Macaca mulatta: one gene and its partners. The protein of the gene in region 2 interacts with the protein of the main gene of each other region in a pairwise test. Links are inferred from orthologs where the notes say so. Each region holds a gene or a part of one and is shown on either strand. Other genes may lie near its edges.

Region 1 (4,309 bases), on a different chromosome or scaffold from region 2:
GAAAGACTACACACTCAGGGGAGGAACACTTACTGGGTGGAACTTCTGCCAGACTTTCAAGAGCAGCTACTTTCTAATGATCTGTAATTCAAAAAACAACCAGAACAAAAACCAGTTGGAAATGCAGTCAAAACATTGCTTTTCCATATTCCTTGCAATTATACTTTCATTTTTAGGTAGTGAGGAACACCAGGATGAACCATTATAAAAAGCATGACTGCAGATGGCCAAGAGTGATACGGACGCACCCTTCACCCTGAAGGTGAAGGTTAAAGCTCAGAGTCTGATTGCAAAGGATAAGGGGGGAAAAAAAACAACAACAAATACAAAAAACAAAACCTGGATAAATGTATGCCGGTGTCCTTCAGCACCAGAAAAAGCTGCTACTAAATCACTGGTGTGGGTTGGAATTGGTAGAGGCTTTGATTTGAGGAAAAGAGTATCATTAGCTGTGTCATTTTGAGTTGTTTTAGAGACAAGGTCTCACTCTGTGTCCCAGACTGGAGTGCACTGATGCGATCACAGCCCCCTGCAGCCTTGAACTCCTGGGCTCAAGCGATCCTTCTACCTCAGTCTCCTAGCTACTTCGGGTCTCTCTGTGTTTACTCAGGCTGGTCTCAAAATTCCTGGCCTCAAGCGATCCTCTCGCCTGGTCCTCCCAAAGTGTTGAAGTTACAGGCATGAGCCACCAATCCTAGCAATAGCTGTGTAATTTGTAAAGTAACAGGCTTCGTACCAACACCTTGCTTTTGTTCACTGTAGTATCCCTGGGGTGTGTCTCATTCCCTGAATCATACACAGTAGATGCTCAATAAATAGTTTTGTAAATAAAATAAATGAGCTCTTGGATTTACCTGCAGACTTTGGATCAGTTTGATCTAGGTTTAAAAGCAAGTGTGGGGAAACTTGAAAAGCCTGGCACCCCAGCCAACTCCTCAGCGCCCCGTGTGCTTGGCGCCTACACCTGCCTGGCACGGGGAGGGTGCTACGGGGCTGCCCTAAACCTCACCCCTTCGGCGGTGGTCCCTGCCCTTCTCGGCTCCTGCACTGCCCACACTATGCGCTGCCGGGCCGAAAGACACGTGCTTCGGTTTTAACCCCTGTCTGCAAGAAATGTGACCTCAGCCAAAAACAGGCCGCTGGTCTGAGAAGAGAAATCATGAGTCATGGATTCGGGGGTTCGGACCTTGGAGCAGGCGGTGAAGTGGGCGTGCGTGGGCTGGTGGGGAAGAGGGCTGCGGAAGGACGCCACAGCCCTTCTCTCCTGGGCAGGATCCCCAGAAAACTGCCCCCTCGCCGTCGTCCAGCGCCCCCGTTCCCGACAGCTGTCTGCCAGGGCGCGGCCGGGGTCCGGGCGGGGCGGCGCTGTCGCTCCAGATCGCCGCCCCGCGGGCCACATCACCAAGGCCCGGGCTTCCCCGGCGGCGGCGCGGCTGCGCTTGCGCGGGACTGCCGCGCGGGGGCGGGGCGGCAGGGAGTCAGGGGGCCGCGGGCGCCGGCGGCCGGGCTGTCAGCTCTGAGACGCCGCGGAGCGAGGAGGCGCGGGAGCAGGAAGGAGCCGTGGGCTGGGAGCCGCTGTCCTCCCCGCCACCACCGGTGCTGGGGACTAGGTGAATGCCCCTTCCATCCCCCGCCCCGGGTGTCTCGGTCCGGTCTGAGGAGACGGGGACCCTTCTCACACCGGCCGCTGCCGCCGCCGCGCTCCGGCACAGGTGACGGTGGAGGGGAAGTCTCGGCTTCAGCCGCTGCACCGCGTTCGGGCGCATCCCAGGTGCAGGAGGGAGGTGGGGCCGAGAGGCCTGGGCTCGGGACCCGGCGGCGGGGGCGCGGGGAGCGGTGGGAGCGGTCCCGCCCGAGTCGCCGTGCCCCCTGCGGACGCCTCCCGGGGCCGCCGGGTAGCGCCCGAGCCCAGGCCCCCGCGCCTGCCCCACATCGGGCGATGGGAAGCTGCTCCGCGGCCGCCGCGGATGAGCGGTCTCGGGCGCCCAAGGCAGGGGCAGGCGGCGGGTGGTTGACTGAGTGATGGCTGAAGGTGAGCTGGGATGGAGATGCTGCGAGGCTGGCTCGGGCACACCCCATATGCCTGTTCAGGGCTCCGCGAGGGCCCCGTCACCCTGTTCTTTCATTCTTCTCTTTATATATATGGAGGATATCTCAATTTTAAAAGCCCAAATGCTCATTTATAGAGAGAGATGACACATATGTATGTGCTACCTATATACATTGATATGTATATTACGTATATATGTCATCTTTTTTTGTAGTGGACAATTTTTAAATTGAGATATACATCACATGCCATAAAACTCATTCTTCTAAAGTGTGGCTTTTAATATATTCACAAAGTTTTCCAAATATGACCACTATCCAGATCATCATCCCCAAAAGAAACCCTGTCTCTCTTAGTAGTCACTCCTCATTTCCCCTTGACCCCACCCCACTAGCCACCACTAATCTACTTGCTGTTTCTGTGGGTTTGCCTGTTGTGGAAATCTCATATAAATGGAAGCGTACAATATGTGGCTTTTTGGTCTGGCGTCTTTCACATACCGTAATGTGTTCAAGTTTCACTCATGTTGTAGTATGTATCAGTACTTTACTTTTTATAGCATATTAATATTGTTGTATCAGTGTACCACATTTGTTTATTCATCAGTTGGTGAACATTTGGGTTGTTTCCAGTTTTTGGCCATTGTGTGTAATGCTGCTATGCACATTTGTGTACAGGTTTTTGTGGACATGTGTTTTCAGTGCTCTTGGGTATATATACCTAGGAGGGCAATTGCTCTGTGTTTAACTTTTTGAGGAACTGCCAAGCAAAGCAGCTGTACCATTTTACATTCCCACCAAGCAGTGTATGAGGGTTCCAATTTCTTCACATCTTCCCCAAGGCTTGTTACTTTTTACTGGTTATTTTTTATTATAGCCATCTTAGTGAGTGTGGAATGGTATCTCTTTGTGGTTTTGATTTGCATTTGTCTAATGAATGGAGATGCTGAGCATCTTTTCATGTGCTTATTGGCCATTCATATATTTTCTTTGGAGAAAATGTCTGTTCATATCTTTTACCCATATTTTAATTGGGTTGCTTGGCGTTTTCTTTTTCTTTACTTATTTACTTACTTATTTATTTATTTATTTTGGAGACTGACTCTCAGTCTGTCACCCAGGCTGGAGTGCAGTGGTGCAATCTTGGCTCACTGCAACCTCCACCTCCGGGGTTCAAGCGATTCTCCTACCTCAGCCTCCCGAGTAGCTGGGACTACAGGCATGCACCACTTTGCCTGGCTAATTTTTGTATTTTTAGTAGAGACATGGTTTCACCATGTTGGCCAGGTTGGTCTCCAACTCCTGAATTCAAGTGATCTGCCCACCTCGGCTTCCCAAAGTGCCGGGATTACAGGCATAAGCCACCGCGGTCAGTCTGGGTTGCTTGGCTTTTTATTGAGTTTTATTGTTCCTTTTTTTTTTTTTTTTTTTGAGACGGAGTCTCGCTCTGTCACCCAGGCTGGAGTGCAGTGGCCGGATCTCAGCTCACTGCAAGCTCCGCCTCCCGGGTTCACGCCATTCTCCAGCCTCAGCCTCCCGAGTAGCTGGGACTACAGGCGCCCGCCGCCTCGCCCGGCTAGTTTTTTGTATTTCTTAATAGAGACGGGGTTTCACCGTGTTAGCCAGGATGGTCTCGATCTCCTGACCTCGTGATCCGTTCGTCTCGGCCTCCCAAAGTGCTGGGATTACAGGCTTGAGCCACCGCGCCCGGCCCTATTCTTCCTTTATGGAAAAAAATTCTATTAATAGGTTTGGATACTGGCACTGACTTGAAAAAAATCCAGCCAATCTGATACTGAAAAACTTAATGCTTACTATTGGGTAAAGGTTGAATAAGTGCCACTTCAGTCTGTAAGAATACCCTATGTGTTCATTCTTGGACATCTTACTGCCCCTTTACATTTACTGCCCTGGTGTTTTGAGCAAGGCTACAGAAGGCATATTCCTGACTGGAGTCAAGAGAGACCACCCTTAATTGGTACTTTCATATATTCTATGCTCAATTTGAAAATCCCTGTTATCACGTTAATTGCAAGTAATTTATATTGGTGGCCAGCTGAACAAACTAACAATAAATGGCAAGAACAAATTACTCAAATTTTTATATGTTTAACTTCTCAGTAAAGTGGAGAATCTTGTTTTCTTAAGTTTGTGCAGTGTAGTTTTTATTACAATTATGTTCATGTGTGGGTGGTAAATAACTATTTTTGATGGCACAAAGGTTAAGAGCCACTTACAGCTAAATGAATGCTGCTGTGCT
Region 2 (3,510 bases):
CACTACTGGGTTTTTCCTTGTCCCCAGTTTCCCTCCCGGACCCCGTGGGTCCTATTACCTCTCTGGAGGGCTTTCTGGGATGTCTCCAGGGCGAGGGTCTCCTAGAGGCATAGGGAGATCAGCCTGGGAGGACAAAAGAGATTCATTTGAAGCACTGGGTTCTGGACTGAGAGGTCCTCAGGTCAGCCCACTGGACATAAGCGACCACACAGAAGGTGGTGGAGCTCAGGAGTTAAGTGAGTGCACTTCTCTGAGATGCGCTGCCAGGTTGGGTTCCCAGTTCTGCCAGCCTCTGGCTGAGGGTCCTTGGCATGTCACCACACCTCTCCGTGCCTCTCTTTCCGCATCTGCTGGCCAGGGATGTCCCCACCTCATAGGGTTAACATGGTGACTAAATGAGTAAATGTGGGGGGAAAAAAAGGTGGGGGCAGTAGCTTGGACAGCGCCTGGTACCTAGTGAGTGCTCCGTGTCTGTGTGAGCTATTCAATATCATCACCTCCATTTTCCACTGGATTCTGGAAGTATGTAAGCTCTCCGAGGGCAGAGACCACATCTTCCACAGGTGCCCACCCCTGTGCTGGCCTCATGCAGAATCCTGTCTTCCTGCCTATGCCAGAATCAGCAGACGCTTTACTAATTAAAAACACGCCATTATAGGCCAGGCGCGGTGGCTCACGCCTGTAATCCCAGCACCTTGGGAGGCTGAGGCGGGCGGATCACAAGGTCAGGATATGGAGACCATCCTGGCCAACATGGCAAAACCACGTTTCTACTAAAAATACAAAAATTAGCTGGGTGTAGTGGCACGTGCCTGTAATCCGAGCTACTCAGGAGGCTGAGGCATGAGAATCGCTTGAACCCAGGAGGCTGAGGTTGCAGTGAGCTGAGATCACGCCCCTGCACTTCAGCCTGGCGACAGAACGAGACTCCGTCTCAAAAACAAAAACAAAACAAAAACACCATGCCATTATAAATGGCATAATTACAAATGTATTGTTCTCATTGTTCATGGTTGCTATACTGAAATATGATTGATTTTTTATTTTGACCTTTCACCCAGCAACTATGCTAAATTCACTGATTAATTCCAACACCTCATCTGAAGATTCAAAGATCAAAGCCCCAGCTGTCCCTCCAGGGTTAGGCCCCACTCACTGTGCCGCCTCATCCCCCATGTCTCCCTGGAAGGGCCTCACCTCTATGGGTCTCTGGCCTTCCTACCCCCACACCTTTTCGACTCAGATGAGGATGATGAATGACAATAATAATGGCAGTAAATAAAAACAGAACACCGATCACAATCAATATGTTCACCTTTACCACCTGCTGTGCCAGGCAGGGACCCAGGCCCTTTATGACGTGGTCCTTAACCCTCCTCCCCACCCTAGGAGCTAGGAAGAGATTATCCCCGTGTGAGCTGTGAGGAAGCTGAGGTGGAGCCCAGTCTCTGCAAGGGAGTGTGGTATGTCGAGAGGAGGTGGGCTTCGGGGCCAGGGCGCTGGGAGCTAAGCGTCATGGAGGCAGCCATCTTGGCCAGTTTGGACCCTGGAGAGCCCCAAGGGCCCTGACAGTGCCTGACACACAACAGGCAGACTCCAGCCCAGCTCCTGCCTTCCTCAGCTCAGAACCGAGGGCTCCTCACCTCTCCTTACCGAGTTTCTTTCCCTGTCCTTGCCTGAGAACAGAAATCCTCACCTCCACCGGGCACTGGGCTCTGAGGAGCAGAGGAGCTGGCCTGTGTGGCTGCAGGCAGGGGGGCTGTGGGCACTGTGCCCCCAGGGAGTTCTGAGGCTGGCTGGGGAGGGCCAGCCCAACCTCTCCCGAGTGTGGGCACATGTGCGTGTGCATTTATGCAATCCGGGGGTGCAGCCATGTCTACAAGGCCTGCGGTGTGGTGGCTGCAGCCCTGTGTGTGTGGCTGGGGGGCTCCCCTGGGAGCAGCCTGGCCGCCCACCAGCCTCCAGGCCTCCCCCTACCTCGCCATAGCTCTCATTAGCTACAGCAAGGGCCTTGTTATCTCTTGGCCAAATGATTTTTCTCTCTGCTCCTGAGGAGTTGGGGTGTGAGGTTGGGGCTTGGGAAGAGTTGAAATGAACGACTCAGCCTCTGCGGGCTTGGAGTGGATGGGGACTGGGGAGGGGTGCTGCGGACTGCCTACCGTGACCTGGCTCTCTGCATCCTCCTCTTCCTCTCTTCCGGTCAACCTGAGGGCCAACAAAGTCACTGCTGGCATCGTCCTCTCCTCCCTGGTTCCCTTTGCCTACTATGGGCTGGGAGGGAAGCCTTGGAGCAGGGTCTTAGCACAGGCCCGGGAGCATGGACAGGCCTGGGGGAGGCCAGGCAGCATGGACGGGCCTGGGGGAGGCCAGGCAGCACAGATGGGCCTGGGGGAGGCCAGGCAGCATGGACGGGCCCGGGGGGTGTCCTGCATATGTGTTTTTCACATGAATTTTCAAAAAATGATCCAAAGGGTCTGTGCCCACTAAAAGAATAAGGGGGCCTCTTCATCTCAGAGTGGTTTTCTCAGCCACTACTTCCCCAGCGGATCCCCCAGCTGGGAACTGAGGCTTCCAGCTTTCTCACCCTCCAAAGTACCAGAGATTCAGGCCTCTGTAAGGCCCCAGAGCACGTGTTGAAACGCCCTTCCTGTCTAGTGGGTTGAGCCATTTTTCAATGGCTGTCACTGGGTACTGTCTGAGGACTGGGACTCCAACTCAGACCTCCCAGCCCACAGAACCCAACTGCTGGAGCTCTTCCCCATGCCCAGTCCTCTCAGGTGTGCAAGCCCCTCTTCCAGGAGGACTGAGGGGTCAGCATGCCACTCATTCACTCATTCACTCATTCACTCACATCTTCCAAGGAGCAGACCCTGGGCCTATGGGCTGGGAGATGAGACCTGGCCCTGCCCTCAGCGAGTCTCAGAGTCTTGGTCTAGGAGGACATCTGGCTCCCAACCCTGCCTCGGGGGAAGGCTCCTAGGGAGGCCCCTCCTAGGGTCATAGCCCTCTGAGTCCCTGAAATGCTGCTTTGGGGACTCAGGCCTCAAGCTGCCCAGCCTGAATGCCCCTTAGAGACCCAGCCATCCACACCACCAGCCACTGCCTTCATTGGGGAGCAGAGATTCAGCCCTGCAGTTGCCACTACCACCAGCTTCAGACCCAAAACCCTCAGAGATACCCTCAGGAATACAGCTGTGCTCCCACGCAATAAGGGATCCAGGCTTTTAGGCCCCAGTCAGACATACACTGTCTGATCCCCTGAAACTTCTACTTGGGACCCAACCCCTCTCAAGGTCCAAGTCCTCACCACTGGCTACCTTTAGGGGCCATTGTATTCACCAGCTTCCTCACTCCCAGCTTTCCAACCTTCGGATCAAACAGCCCCTGCCCTCTGGAAACTCGGAAACTCGCATGGCACTTGCCTCCCCGACTTCCACTACTGCTCAGCCCCTTCTCCCCTCCTTTCTCTGGTGACGCAAAGGGAGGTCATAGCTCCAGAGCTCCCATCCC
Region 3 (4,092 bases), on a different chromosome or scaffold from region 2:
GTCACTGTCCCAGCCCAAGCCCTAGGGGCCCTCACTGTTGGACCTGTCCTGATGCCAAGCTCAGAGGCACCTATCCTAGATAGACACGGCAAAGCTGTCTTTCACTGTTCCCTGGGTGACCCACACCTGGAGGAGTTATCAGGCAGGGATCCAGGTGATGGGACAGAAGGGGCCAGGGCAGCCACTGTTGTTCACTGCTGGAAGTGTGCCAGGGGACTGGAAGGTGAGCAGCAATCCCACCTGTCTCCTAGAAACCCTGTCCTCCGTGTGTAGGGGCGTGTAAAGGGTGGGCACACAGGGAAGAATCCAGCCCTGGGGCTTCCTTGAAGCCAAGTGAGCAGCCTTCTGGATTTGTTTTCCCACAGTGTCTGAAACTGGGGCAAGTGTTAAGGCAGAACAGAGGAAAAGCAGCAACTTCATGAGGTCAAACCCAGTCTCTCCAGATCTAGGTAGTCCAGCACAGGTTCTGGGAGTAGATGCCAGCTTTACCACTTGATTTCTTTGGTATAACCTTAACTTTCTGCCATCCTTTCACTAGTATTTATTGAGAATCCTCTGCCTATTAGGGCATCAATGCTAAGCAAAAAACGGATTCAGTCACCTTCCTGGAGGTTCCAATCAGTGGGGGAGACAAATTAAACAACCAGTACCCCCCTACCCCTACCCCCACAGAAAGTGAAATGCCCAAGAGATACATAGTATATAATTAGAGAGACTTCACCCTCTCTGGAAGGTCAGAGAAGGCTTTCCTAAAGAAATGATAATGGAGCTGAGGTCTGGAAGAAGCATAGGAGTTTCCTGAAGAACGTAGGAGGGGACACTGCACACAGAGGGAGCAGGACAGTCAAAGGCAGGCCATTTGGCAACAGGTGACTGGAAGGAACTGGAAGAAGGGCTATGAGGCTGAAGCACAGAGTGGATATGCAGGGTCTAGGCAGACCATGCAAGAATGTGGGTTTCTCTTAGAGCAATAGGAAGCCTTTTGAGGTGCTCTTAGCAGGGAAGTGAGATGATCACACTTATGGTTTGAGAAGATTACTCTGGCAGCACAGTGAACAACGGATTGGAATGGAACTAGGGAGCATTCAGGAGGCCAGACAGAAGGTATCAGGTATTTGCCTGTAAAATGGGGGTGATGAGAATACTATCTTACAAGCTGTTGCCAGGATCCAATGAGATACTACATTTTAAGTGTCTATTCCAGTACCTGGCACATAGTAAAGGCCCAGTAAGCGTCGATATTGTTACTTTTATCATTGGTTCTTTGCTGAGTGCACATATTTCTCATCCAGGTCTGCTCCTGTGTGATGGGGTGGAGGGGGTTGTTGTGGTTTCCAGAATGGAAACGTGGTTTGTGCCAAATCACAACGTCGAGACCAGAATCCAGGATGCCTGAAACCTGATTAGAATGGCTTAAAAATATGTATTCAAGAAGAAAAACGGGTTCCAATCGCTCCTACTAAGGACGCTGGAGGGACGGTGAATGATTCTTTAGATGGTAAGTCCTAGTACTTGTTGAGAAAAACAGGTGCTTCTCTGGTCGGAGAGCAGATGTAGGGCTCGCAGCCGCGTGCGCTCCCGCGGAGGTGGGGGACCCTCGCCACTCCCCCGTTCTATGCCCGCCCGCGGGCTTCCGACCGCACCTGCTCCCCCGGCTCGGAAACGCAGGCCGGGTGCCCGGCTGCAGGCAGAGGGTGCCCGGGGGAGGAGGTCCCGAAAGGCTCCTCCACACGCCTGCACCGGCTGCCCCCTCCCCAGTCACGTGGCCCGGTGGGTGGGGACCGACCTGAAGTTGGAAAAAACCCGACCGCTCCCAACTTCGGAGGGAGCCGCCAGTCCTCCGGGCCCGGGCGGTGGGCGCTGGAGCCCCGGCTGGCGGCGTGGACGTGCGTTTCCGAGAAGCCGAGCAGCGGCGCGGGAGGCGGGACTCGAGGCATGGCCTGGCTGTCGGTTATCCCCGGGTCGGCCACGGCGTGGACAGGTGAGCTGGGACCCGCGGCCAGCGGTGGAGATGGCCGGGGCTGCCAGGGCATCGGGCCCCAGAGCCCACACCCGTCCAAGGGATGCGGGGCTCCCACGCAGGAGGGGGCGGTTGGGTGAAGAGGCCGCTGTGGATTCTCGGCCCGCCGGGTCACTCCCACCAGCGCCGCCGCCTCCTCTCCCGCTTTGCCACCGGGTGAGCAGGGCAAGCGGGACGCCAGGGAGCCTCGCGGGGCGTGGACTCTGTGCCGGCCCCGCCCCCCGCGCGCGCACTGGCTGCTCCACGCGGCGTCACACTCGGCTATAAAAGGTGCGGCGCGGGGCCCTTGCGGCCCTGGAGGAGCTCGAGCTCGAGGCTGAGGCTGCTGGGGAGCCGCGGGCGACCGGGCCGCCGGCGTCTCAAGGATGTTTTACTCAGGGCTTCTCACTGAGGGCGGCCGCAAGGAGACCGACATGCGGGAGGCGGCGTCGCTGCGACAGCAGCGCCGGATGAAGCAGGCGGTGCAGTTCATCCACAAGGACTCCGCCGACCTGCTGCCCCTGGACGGCCTCAAGAAGCTGGGCTCGTCCAAGGACACGGTGAGCCCCCGCCGCCGTTCTTGCCCTGGCCCCGGCGGCTTCGCGCCCGCGGTCTTCCGAGGCCCGGCCGTTGCGGCTTTCACTGAGTCACGGCCCGGCCCGCCGCTGCCCTTGGCTCGCGGTCGCTGCGTCGCGGATTCCTCCCCTTCCAGCACCCCTGCTGCGGTTTTGGTGGGGATTCCGTCCTAGCTTTTCAGCTCGCGCTCGCCTCGGCTGTATCTCCTCCCTGGATGTCTCCTCTCCAGAGGAAGGAAGAGGTCCTGCCCTGCCCTCTTGCCCTCGGGTCTTCTTTCTCTCCCCTTATTCTTAATACCGAATTTTGTTCGTGGGGCTTGTGCCTCCTACGCTGTGTGGCTGGTTCTATGACCCAGACAGAGGTGATTCCTAATGACTTCGTGTGAGGGGGAAAGAAGTGGAAAGGGATTTTTTTTTGACAGTTGCCAGATCCAGAAGATTTTTGTTGAATCCATTGTCCCCCTATGCAAAATCCACTTCTCTAGTTTTGGTCCTATGTACCTTTGACCTTCCATCCTGAGTGGGGAGAGAGAAAAGGGGTCGAATGTGAAGGTTTCCTGAACCCCCAACATCTCTTCATCATTCTCCTCTTCCAGCCCCGCCCCCAAGGAGTGAGTAGAGGGAGGAAGCCAGGCTGCTCCATCTTACCGACCAGCTAATGTGTGCATTTGGGGCTGGGGTGGTTGCAGTCTTTTTTTCTAGCACGGTTTTTCTTGGCATTAAGTAGAAGCACCCCAGGACAGGAGCCCTGGGGTAAAAAATGGTACTGTCCTCTTTCTATAGAATGAAAGGGTGACCAATATAAAGAACTGTATCTGTCATCCCTCAGCCTCTGTAGTGGTCCTGGGTCAAGTTTATGTTTAACTTTGTAGTTTTATCTGGAGTTTTCTTGTAGTTTGATTGTTTTCTTGAATTTCACAATCGCTTTGTTCATTTGGGTGGTAATGTATGAAACGCTAATTAAATGCCTTTTAACAAATGAAATAGGTGCTCTGCATAATTTTTCTAGTATTTTTTATTTTAAGCTTTTGAAATGTTTAATTCTGGATGTGGTTGTTAGCTCTAATTCATTGAAATTGCCATTTCTGGCCCCAGGAGGGCAGAGCTTCTGCATCCATTTCCTTTTTTTTTTTTTTTTTTTTTTAATTTAACAGCTCTAATGACACACAGGTACCAGTATAATTTTTCTCCTCCCTGCCATTAGTTGCTTCTTTGCAGGGTTTGTCTACTTCAGTTATCTTGCTCTGTTTTTTGAAAGTTGTGTTTTTTTGTTTTGCTTTGCTTTTTGCACAAGCTGCAGGATAGTTTCCCTGATTTATGCTAACCCAGAGTGATGAGTGATTGAAATGTGCTCCTGCAAAAGAGGTAACTCTCTTTTCCCTTCTTTTACTTTAAAGCAATCTTGATTCATTTAACAAATCAGGTTCGAGAAATATTCTTTCCTTCAGGCCAAATAATCCTATCCTAGTTCCTAGAATGCTCGTCAATCAATAAAGAAGGAAGTATTATATTAAGAGA

What was found. The genes of interacting proteins can lie anywhere in the genome.
Region 1: the proteins of KASH5 (region 2) and SLC41A2 interact in binary tests that used the Homo sapiens proteins (3 or more experiments, as listed by UniProt). The two-hybrid records come from large-scale screens. The link is inferred for Macaca mulatta from reciprocal best matches to the Homo sapiens genes KASH5 and SLC41A2.
Region 3: the proteins of KASH5 (region 2) and NRIP3 interact in binary tests that used the Homo sapiens proteins (3 or more experiments, as listed by UniProt). The two-hybrid records come from large-scale screens. The link is inferred for Macaca mulatta from reciprocal best matches to the Homo sapiens genes KASH5 and NRIP3.

Annotation. Positions count from the first base shown.
Region 1 is NC_133416.1:112,189,645-112,193,953, reverse strand, and holds the start of SLC41A2 (solute carrier family 41 member 2), read left to right. Parts: upstream 1-1,509; 5' UTR 1,510-1,610; exon of another isoform or gene 1,611-1,712; intron 1,713-4,309. UniProt on the Homo sapiens protein: Acts as a plasma-membrane magnesium transporter. Can also mediate the transport of other divalent metal cations in an order of Ba(2+) > Ni(2+) > Co(2+) > Fe(2+) > Mn(2+).
Region 2 is NC_133424.1:61,841,088-61,844,597, reverse strand, and holds part of KASH5 (protein KASH5), read right to left. Parts: intron 2,206-3,510; coding exon 2,160-2,205; intron 124-2,159; coding exon 59-123; intron 1-58. UniProt on the Homo sapiens protein: As a component of the LINC (LInker of Nucleoskeleton and Cytoskeleton) complex, involved in the connection between the nuclear lamina and the cytoskeleton.
Region 3 is NC_133419.1:56,530,398-56,534,489, forward strand, and holds the start of NRIP3 (nuclear receptor-interacting protein 3), read left to right. Parts: upstream 1-1,292; 5' UTR 1,293-1,935; coding exon 1,936-1,981; intron 1,982-2,313; exon of another isoform or gene 2,314-2,385; coding exon of another isoform or gene 2,386-2,398; coding exon 2,399-2,559; intron 2,560-4,092.